Linked DNA regions of Drosophila melanogaster. The protein of the gene in region 1 interacts with the protein of each later gene in a pairwise test. Each region holds a gene or a part of one and is shown on either strand. Other genes may lie near its edges.

What was found.
Region 2: the proteins of Rab10 (region 1) and CG10376 interact in a two-hybrid assay, tested with the Drosophila melanogaster proteins (one large-scale study listed by BioGRID).

What each region holds. Positions count from the first base shown.
Region 1 is NC_004354.4:20,249,208-20,255,191, reverse strand, and holds Rab10 (Rab10), read right to left. Parts: upstream 3,855-5,984; 5' UTR 3,562-3,854; coding exon 3,435-3,561; intron 2,955-3,434; coding exon 2,755-2,954; intron 2,685-2,754; coding exon 2,595-2,684; intron 2,127-2,594; coding exon 1,929-2,126; 3' UTR 501-1,928; downstream 1-500. Other genes in the region: CG17065 (uncharacterized protein), read left to right, coding at 1-60, 111-292; CG17068 (uncharacterized protein), read left to right, coding at 4,239-5,984.
Region 2 is NT_033779.5:18,699,829-18,704,930, reverse strand, and holds CG10376 (uncharacterized protein), read left to right. Parts: upstream 1-1,825; 5' UTR 1,826-2,017; coding exon 2,018-3,304; 3' UTR 3,305-4,325; downstream 4,326-5,102. Other genes in the region: Jwa, read left to right, coding at 1-177; CG10343 (uncharacterized protein), read right to left, coding at 595-1,021, 1,094-1,203, 1,271-1,378; CG10341 (uncharacterized protein), read right to left, coding at 4,343-5,102.

The DNA.
Region 1 (5,984 bases):
CGCTGTGCGGCAGCATCGCCCCGATGGACGAGTGCGTGCGGATCTTCCAGAAGGCGACCGGTGAGTGCGAGATCCCCGCTAGAATTCGCATTAATTACTCCGTTTTGCAGACTGCTCCGTGGTCTATGCCATCGAGGCGGCCACCTTGCATCCAGCACAGTGCCTGAAGATCGAAAAGCAGAAGGGCACCCTGGACTTTGGCTCGGACGCGGACTTCGTTCTCCTGGACGACCAGCTCCGGGTGCTATCCACCTGGATCGCTGGCGTATGTGTTCATAGGACTGTCAAGTAGCGCATCGAATGTGCAACTGTTGCAATTGTTTTTATTTACCTGATGCAGGATGCAGGATTCTACACCGAAGATTCTCCAAATAAATTGTTAAACTTATACATTCCAATTGAAGGAGCTTGAGATTCTTGTGAGTGCAGCCAAGGATGTTCAAATGAATTGTTTAACGATGATTGTTTGCCATTTGAAATAAGGAATCACTCACTGGTTTATATGACATGGTTTAGGTTGTTCTTTATATTTTAATCGGTAAATCATTTGGTGTGGACAACTAAACTAAATCCATATACAGTTACAAATAATAGGTTTACACGACAAAAAAAAAAGAGTAGAATAAAATTACAAGGAGACGGGAGGCGAGCGCTAGGTGGTGCGTTCGGTTTGGGGCGCTCCTCCCTTGCGGATGCGAATGCAAATGCGAATGCTACATTGATGGCGTGCACCGTCCTTACATACAAGCATGGAGATATATACGCGCGCACACCCAAGCCCCCTTAAGTGTACACAGATACATACATATATATTATATATAAATTGGGTGTGCGGGCGCGAATGCACATAAAAACGATGCGATATACGGTGTGTAATTTCATATATGTATATATATATATAAATATATATTTATATCTAAATATCTATATATATATATATATATATATATATATATATATATATATATATATATATATATATATGCACAGGCAATAATCAAAAACGATTTCGGAACACCTCGATCTCGAAACTCCCTATGGAACTGCAACTCTGGCCGAGGATCTGGCTTGAAAGCTTGAGTGGCCAGGACGCAGAGCAGGGCGTACATCACCACCCGCCCCATCGAACTCCTCGCTGGCTTGGCTTGGCGTCGACATAGAAAGCGAAAGCAAGCTAAGTAGGTATAGGCTATATACTACTATCCGATGTATAATATGTATAGGTGTTATTTATATCTAGGCTGAAACGCAAAACAAAAACGAAACACTAAGTGGGGCGGCTGGGGAGTGCGAGTGGTGGCGAACGAGCGAGCGAGCGAGCGATCGAATGACTGAGTACAGGAATCGTAAGACTATATGTGTATCAAAAGTACGTTACAAAAGTTGCTTATGTCTGCGTCAGCGACATCAGCGCTATCATTATCGTTTCTTGTGGCTGGACAGTGGCTGGAGCTGATCCTCGTTATCCGATCCACGTTAGTCAACCGATCGAGTGCGGCATGGATATGCAGATCCTTGCGTCCACGTTGTGTGGGCGTTAACTAACGTGGCCCATGCCCGACCACCATCCATCGTTCGGAGTTTTGTAAAGTTGCTTCCAAATGTTCGTATTACAATATCTGTTGCTTGTTGTTAAACTTTAGGTAGGTTGTTTCTGTTGCTTGTTCCATTTTGCGTATCCTCGTAATAAGTAAGTTTCCTACGTGCGAATGACCCCGGCTCTATTGCTTTGTTTTTTGCTTCGTCCGTGCGGAGCGGTTTCAGAAACCGGTCCCCACTGCTTTCGGTTCGATTCGATTCGTTTCGTTCCATTCCAATTCAATCTAGTCCAGTTTAATCCAATCCAATCCGTACTTCGCCGCCTTCCCCACGCACAGCTGAGCACAAACCGGGCCAAACCACGCCCCGTTCGCCTAGAACGCCGCTTTTTACGCGCAGCACTTGCTGTAGCCCGGCGCCTTCTCCTGGTTCCGGCGATCGATAATCACGCGCTCCTGATTCTCCGCCGACTCGCGTCCTGATGTCTTGTCCAGAATGGCCTCGGCCAGCTCGCAGAAGGCCCGCTCGATGTTTATGTTCGACTTGGCGGATGTTTCCATAAACCGAATGCCATGTTCACGGGCAATCTAAAAAACGTGGGCAGAGATGGGGAAGGGGAGCAAGTTATTGGCTTTGTAAACAAATTGATCAAACAGACGTGGGGCGTGTGCGATCATTGAGTAACAATCATAATAAATAACCAGAATAGTTCTAACATAAATTGTATGCCTCCGGAAATTTTCCCTTGCATTCATTACCACGGACATACTATAGCACCTAAATAGTTTCGTCTTGATTGTCAGAGAACGAATATATTCGCTGTGTTCAATTTGCAAACTTATCTTAAAAAATCAAAACAATAGGAAACTATTAAGGGGCATGGAATTCGCTTGTAAAAAACAGTTGGCTTTGAAAGCTAAACACACTAATATATGATCGATTTCCGAACTCAACTCCTATGGCAGAAGAGCTTAACGATCTAACTACGACTATATTTCCTAATCTCTGACAGTGATTGCTGTTGTGGGGGCACTCTGTGGATGAGGGATGCTCACCGCTTCGCCGCGCTCCTTGTTGACCACCCTCTTGTCCGTCATATCGCACTTGTTGCCGAGGATCATCTTCTCCACATCCTCGTTGGCGTGCTAAAACAAAAAAAAAAGAAGAAGATTTCAGACTTTAGAAAAGGCCATTACTCGCAGGGGAAACACCTACCTCGTCTATATTCCGTAACCATTTGACTATGTTCTCGAAACTCTTCTCGTTCGTTATGTCATAGACCAGCATTATGCCCATGGCGCCTCGATAGTACGAGGTGGTTATCGTGTGGAACCGCTCCTGGCCGGCGGTGTCCCATATTTGCAGCTTGATCTTCTTGCCGCGCAGCTCGACTGTTTTGATTTTGAAATCGATGCCTGAGAAAAACGGTTGAACGAGAAAGCAAATGTAGTGCGGAAAAACCAACGCAATTTGAGCCGAATGACGTCACGGCGGTGTTATCGATTACATTGGAATTGAATAAAATAAAGCAGTTCGACATTGATATCACGATGATTCATTACATTAGACGTATATGAAGCATTCATTCCAACCAAATGATCACACGTCTGTGTTACGTGTTGCGAACATGCAGTAGTTTAGTACGAAAAGTTCAAGTTCAGGGAGTTACATAGCCACATAGATGGCATATTTTGCTCACTTCTCCTCCGCTTTCCACTCCGCAGGCGATCGAAACAAGCAGTGCATAGGCCAGTCGATAAGGCAGTGCCACGCCCAGTCACACACCCACACACACGTATATATATCCTGGCTGTGCAGCTGACATGTGCGCGTGTGTGTGTGTGTGCGGTGCGGGTGGACAGATGCAAGTATGTGCGTACGGTCCCGTTACTCACCTATGGTCGATATGAACGTGGACGTGAATGCATCATCCGAGAACCGGAACAATATGCACGTCTTGCCCACTCCTGAATCACCGATCAGCAACAGTTTAAAGAGCAAATCGTAGGTTTTCTTTGCCATTTCCAAAACGCAACGGAACGCTCGCAGAACAAAGCACAAACACACGCGACACTCACACGCACGCAAACACACACACACACAAACGCACGGGCGCAGGTGACAAGAGATATTATTATTATTGAAGCGCCTGCCCTTTTTCGCTCTTTCTCTCGGTTATGGCCGCCTAAGCAATGATCCTGTATCTCGAGCTAGCTCTTTTTTCTCCGCGTGTCTTAAATGCGCCGAATTAATTAATATTTTCGCTTGAAATTGTTGCTATTAGAACTAGAGCTGGAACATGAATCGATATCTGTTCGATACCATCCATGCTCTCACCAGTGTGGCAACTTCGATGGTTTAATACAACTATCGACTGCTATGGAGTCACAGTTTTGAAATCACAGCTTAAAATCTAAAGAAAGATTTGAGTTTACTCTTGATAATACCTTAAATGCTTAAGTATTTTTGCTAGAAAGCTCATAACATGACTTTTAATTATTACGCCATTTGGCAGACCTCTGCTATCGGTACGACAGCCAATCGATAGGTAAGCACGCATTCAATTATCGGTATCGTAAAATAATAACAATTTCGCAAAATCCCAAACCGATTCGCAAAAAGGTGGATTATTCACACAAATCAGAGCGAACAACGTTTGGATTACAGTGATCCCAATCCCAGCCAATCCACCGCAGGCAATGGACATCGACTGGCAAAACGGCCTCACCGAGCTGAAGGATCGGGGCCAGTACCTGCTCCACTCGGAGAAGTGGGCCGACTGCCGCTTTCTGGTGGGTTCTTCGCCCACCCAGCGGCTCATTGCCGGCCACAAGCTGCTACTGGCCATGGCTTCGCCGGTGTTCGAGCGAATGTTCTATGGCAACCTGCCCGATAAGACGGACCCCATCGTCATTCCGGACGTGCAGCCGGAGGCGTTCGAGGCGATGCTGGAGTACATCTACACGGACCGCATCACCATTGGGTCCTTCGACAAGGCCTGCGAGCTGTGCTACGTGGCCAAGAAGTACATGCTGCCCCACGTGGTCACGCGCTGCACCCATTTCCTTTGGGCTGATCTTAGTCCGAAAAACGCGTGCCGGGCGTACGAGTTTGCCAAGCTGTTCGATGAGCCGCGCCTCATGCAAAGCAGCATGGATCTGATCGCGGCCAACACGCGCGAGGTTCTGTCCGATCCCAGCTTCCTGGACATCGAGGTCTCCACCCTGATGGCCATTCTTGACCAGAATCGCCTGAACATCGACTCCGAGCTGGATTTGTTCAACTGCCTGCTGAAGTTTGCCAGTGAGCGGGGCATCCTGAACGAGTCCGGCCAGGAAGAGACTGCTAGCGGAGGTCAGGTGCTGACCAAGGAATCGCCCGACAATGCTGCCGGCCATGTGCTGGTCGAAGAGATCAAGATGGAGCCCGATGTGGCGGCCATGGTGCAGCACATGCACCAGGACGACGAGGCTGACAGCTTCGAAACGGACGCTGGGATGGCTTCCACTTCCTCTGCGGCTGCCGCGGCTGCAGCTGCGCCCACGGCTGCCTCCCCGCCGCTGGACGTGGCTTCCGGCTCCGACGACCTGGTAATCATCGATAGCGACGCTTCGGCCGATGCCGCCGCCAACATGATTAACATCATGGACGCCCAGCGCACCATTCTCGATGGCGCCATGCTCAGGCAGGCGGTCAAAAAGATTCGCTTTCTCACCATGACGCCGCAGCAGTTCGCGGAGGGACCGGCCCGTTCCAAGCTGCTGCAGCAGCACGAGGCCCTCTCCATCCTGATTAAGATCTCCAGTCCCTCGCTCAACGATTGTCACATGCCCGAAGGCTTCTGCGTGTCGCGGAGCACGCGCAACTTCTACGAGTCGGGCCACCGACACGCCCAGAGAGAATTGTCCTCCTCGTATCGCACTGGAGCCGCTCCCTCGGGCGTCTGTTTCCCGGGACCGGGACCGGCAGTTCGCAGCGGAGGACCCTCCGGCGGCGGTATGATGATGGGCATTGCGCCCCGTTTCGGATCCGTGGGCACGGGATTCGGCTTCGCAGGCGAGGAATTGGTCATCCGCCCGCCGGAACCGGTGGGCGTCCCACCGGATGCCGCACCTGCGCCAGCACCACTGCGCTGCTTCGGCGAGGGCTACGAGAGCGGAGCGCCAGTCCCAGCGCCCGCCAATGATGATGATGGCGGCGATCGAGGCGCACCGGCGCCCGCTGGCGGCGCTGCAGCTGGAGGAGCTGGATCCGCAGCTGGAAATTCGCACAACGACATGGTGCGCGCGTACTGTATGCGCTCCCTTACCCGGCAATTTGACTTCCGCAACACCAGCGTCACGGATGCGGGCGTAACGTTCCAGGTGGACACCAACATTTGGATCCTGGGCGTCCAAGTGCCCACGCGCGTGCTGTGCGGCGAGCTGATGACTTCTGCCGGTTTT
Region 2 (5,102 bases), on another chromosome or scaffold:
CTTTTGACGATTTTCACCGTGTTGCTACCTATTTCGCTGACCTTCATCCACGCCTCCTTGCGACTGCGAAACATCAAGAACAAGCTGACCAACAGCATCGAGAGCTTTGCTCCCTCCACGCCCATGGGCTCCTTGCTGGATGCCTTAAATGTCCGGGCCGAAGGCGTCTTTAATTAGACTGACCAGTTTGACACAGTTGGAATGATCGTTTTTATCGCTAGTTATCCTTGTCAATGTTGATCCTTGCAAAGCAAATCCCGGTATTGTAATCGATTTTGATTTTTACTTTTGTATTAAACTATGATTTTATGCAGCCATCATGTAACGCAAATATTACAAATGTCAATAAAGTTTTCCCAGGAATTTCGCTGTGTTGCTCCTCTAAAGATAATGTTATCTTATAAGGGCCAATCCTCTCACCCAAATCAAAAGTTGAAACCTTTGATAGTTAGTAGCGTAAACAAGATATAGACTTTATGATAGCCGCCCATGCAGTTACTCGCGTTTATTCTATCACATAAAATAGTATTGGCTTTTGATTTCAATTTAAGGTTTCCTCGATGTTATTACTCCTATTTTTAGTTGGTAGGCATTTTAGTTGTTCAGGGGGTGGAGAGCTGGAGCGTTGGACGCTGCAATTTCGGCGGCAGTGAGAGAATCATCGTTTTTCCCACCCGTCTGCGATAAATGCTTGACGAGGTCCACCCAATCCCAGCCACGTTCCCGGTCTCCTTTGTGATCGGTTCTCTCCCACTGCCGGCGCTTTTGCGCCTTAGTCAGGTGCTCCTTCTTGGGCTCCTTTTTCTTGGACTCCGCATCGGCATTGGGATCGGAGATCTTTAGAGCACCCACGCCATCATCCACTAACGCCACCGTGGGTGCAGATTCGGGTTGCTCTGCGGTCAATTGCTCCAGGTTGTCCTTAAGGCATTCGAACAGGGTATAGGTCATGCCACAGCCCAGCCATTGGTCCGCTTCCGTACTCAGAGCCGTTTGGATCCCTTCCTTGACAGCTGGCAGTCTGTTAAATAGGAAAGCGTAGTCTTTAGAGCTAAACCTGCTCCAATTTCCCAAGGAATAACGATCCACTTACAGATTCCTATTGTAAAACGCGTTCATGTTGATCGCTGGCGCCTCATCGGGGTAATTTTCGCCCCACTTGAGCTCGACCAAGAACGACTTGTAGTTATCCTCTTCGCCATACTAAAATTTCATTTATTATATTACAAATTATCATATTTGTGTGCTTTTTTTTATCCATGTGGCTTACTTTGTACTGAAATGTGACGCTATCTATTTCCTTGAAGTTCGTGTCGCCCTCGTATATTGACTGCAACGCCTCCCGTTCTTCCGTCTGCTGTTCCAGTGGCGTGCTCATAGTAAATTGTGTGGATTATCTTTACTGTTCAAGATTTTATCATTTTTTGTTAAACAAGACAAAAATCAAAATTTGTAACAAAAACAAAAGCAACAGTAACAATCAGCTGGCCACCGGTGGATGTGTGGCCGTTCTATCTCAAATCAGTTATAGCTTGTCTCCACTGGGTCCGCATGCGAAGCCTTAAAAAGGCTAAATAGGTGTTTTTGTTATTTATTGTAAAGGCTTGATTAAAATTATGTTTATAAATATATTCTATTATTTCATTTAAAATACTTCTGAAGTTTTTTTTATGTTTCCAAATGCAGTTAAAGGTTTTCAATCAAAATTAAAAAATAAATAAAAAGAGAAATGAAGCGTAATAGATGAAACCGAAGATGAAGGGTAAACAATCTTCGTAGGTGGGAATATCACGCATCTATTTCGATAGGCATAGCAAAGTTATCGAGCCAGTACAGTTCAGTTCGCAGCAGAATAACATAGAAGAACGCAAACAATAACAACATAAAAAAAAATCATAAAATGCACAGTGCGCGCGTGAATCATCGTTGAGCAACAATTAGCATTGATAAGCTCATGATCGCGCGGCGTCACTAGGAGCGGAAACAGGAACTGAGGCACACGCGACCCACGACAAGTATGTCGTCAGATGCGATTCCCGCATCGGAATGTGCGCACCTGATGGAATTCAAGCGATTTCTGGTCAGCACGGCGGAGAAGGCAGCAGCCGTAAGCGAGGAGGTGGTCAGCCGGAGTTGTGTAACTCGTACGGCCAATGAGACATACAAAGTGTCCGGCGAGGAGCGTCATGCCGAATTGGTCTCAGCTATTTGGAAACAACTGGAGACTCGAGGATGTCCGGCGCAGTTCCGGATTAAGCTACTCCATCGAAGCACACAGCAGCTGGAGCAGGATCTGTGCTTTGCCAAGGAGTGTGAAGTCACCGTGGAGGGTCCGCCGCAGTACGATCTTCTCAAGCTGCAGAAGTTCGTGGCCAGTGAGTTTGAGAAGTACATCCTAAAACTCACCGACAACTCGGAGGTGGATCGCCTCAAGGACTTCGCTGATGAGGCGGCGCCGGAAAACTGCGAGTGCCACCAGCAGAAAGAACCCCTGCACACATCTGCCGCTGTAAAGAACAAACCCCGCAAAATGGAGGATCGCTGTGTTTGCCTGGATCGATTTGGTGAAATGTACGAGCTGCTGGACAAGACCACCCGTTTTTTTGGCGTCTTTGATGGTCACTCTGGCTCTTTATCCGCCACCTATGCAACCAGCCAACTCCCACAACTGCTAGCCGATCAGCTTAAAGCAAATCCAGATCCTGCTGCATTCTCCCCAGACTTTTATCGCAATGCCTTCGAGTCGGCATTTTTGCTGGCCGACGAGCGTTTCACCCAGAAGAAGATCACCAGCGGCACAACCAGCGTGTGTGCCTTGATCACAAAGGATCAGCTTTATATCGCTTGGGTGGGCGATTCCAAGGCCCTTCTCGTGGGCAAGCGGACTCAACTGCAGCTGGTGAAACCGCACAAGCCAGAGAATCCGGATGAGCGCAAGAGAATAGAAACAGCTGGTGGAACAGTGCTCCACGCCCAGGGGCAGTGGCGTGTAAATGGCATTCTTAACGTGGCCCGCTCCATTGGCGACTACAGCCTTGAGGCAGTGATCGCAGAGCCGGACTTCGTGGATGTGCAGTTAAATGAGGCTCACGACTTTCTCGTACTAGGCACCGATGGCCTGTGGGATCATGTGCCCGAGTCGCTCATAATCGAAACCGTTTACGATTCCCTAGCGGATACCACAATGAAGTTGGACGACATTCCCAAACTGCTGATAGAGGCTGCCAAGGAGCGGGATTCCCAGGATAACATAACAGCGGTGGTGGTTTTGCTCAAACCGCGACATCAGATCGAACATCTTTAAAAGTTTAGGTCCGAGCAGCAAATTTTTTATATTGTTACCCGCCTTGGGATGGGTTAATTTTGTACAAATTCAAAGCAACTTAAAAGTCGTAGAAGCGAAAAGTAATCTTGAATCAACGCCCTTTGTGTGGTGGGATAACACGAAAAGTCATATCAAATTTTACGTATTCGAAAGAGAAAAATGTGCCAAATATTTTTAAACAATTCAAGAACGCAATATACACTTGATATTGGCATGCATATTGTGGGAATATAAGTAATATAATCCATTTTCTAAAAGATTATTGAACGTACGCAATCGTTTAATGTGATACAACGAAAATAAGGTATTACAAGATGATAGAACCCAAGTCCTTGCCTAATTAAAAACTAATAATATGCCCAAAGATTACTTTCCGAACCTACATTTGCAAATTAATCAACGAGAATTAACCCAAACCGGCCCATTGTTGTTTCGTTTACTTTACGTTATTGTTGTAATGTAAATAGCTTGGAGCTGTTCGGAGTGCTCCTACCTTTATTGTCACATTCTCACGTGCCTACGTGGTCCTGAATATGGATGACCCCATCCCGGTCCACTTGTTTGGTTGCTCGAATAAGCTCAATCAAAATATTTTGTGGTTGCTCAGCAGTTGAACGAAATTTTAACAAGTTAAGGCAACTGTTGTTAGCCCAATAGTATATAGAAAAAGTGCACAATTACGCACATAAATATGTTTACATATATTTTAGATTAGCCAGCAAGCATATTTATACACATTGAAGTTGTTTTCGGCCGCTTAGTGCTTCCTGCTGTACGATAATAAGCCAAGCCATGTAGCCAGGTACACATATATCGTAGTTAAACGCGTATATATTTACACCCGTAACCGTATTTAATGATCCCACACAGATTAAGTACCTTTTTATACAAATCCAACGAACCTTTCATGCATTTTATCGAACAACCCAGGACACATTTTTAACAACACACACGCAAATTGATAAAGATTTTTTATTGGAATAATAAAAGTAATTCACTGAATTGTCATACCTATCTCTAGCTGGGTGGCGGCTGACCCTGATGTGACTGGTTGTTCGGCGGAGGAGGAGCAAAGGGTGGTGGTGGCGGGTACATGTGTGGGTACATGGGCGGCATGGCGTAGGGCATTCCGTAGCCATAGTTAGGCACTGGGAAGGGCATGCCAGGATGCTGCTGAGCCATGTTAAAGTTAGCCGCTGCCTGGTGATAGTTCTGGTAGTAGTTGGAGTGCCAGCTGCCCGGATTGTAGCTTGGATGGAAGTTGTATTGTTCGTCCTGTGGCTGATTCTGGTTGTGCTGGTTAATGGAGGGTCGCTGGCTCTGGCGGAAACTCTCTCGTTGCCCACGACGTCCGCGTTGACGAGGAGGAGGAGCAACTGAAGAAGCCTTAGTGGCTGTCGTGGCCACCGAGGTTACCGTGTCCACGGAATCTGTGGAGTTTGTGCGATCCCTTTGGCGGCGCTTTCGCTGCTCTGCCCTGGCTTCTCTTTCTTCTTCATCATCCGAGTGATCTACGTAGCGGGCTGGTGGTTCTACATCGTGCTCCCACGAAGCATCCGATCCTCGAACTTGCATCAGCTTGGAGAGGATCACAAATTGAGTGTGTTCGGTTTTGGGAGCGCAGTACACTACGTCGCCAATTTTGATGCCCCTATCGAGGATCTGTTTGTTACTGTTGAATCGAACGCAGTACAGTGGATCCGACACTTGACCCAACACATCGAACACTTCGCCCAGGACCTTGCGACCCTTCTCCAGGAACAAAACGGTGTCGAGA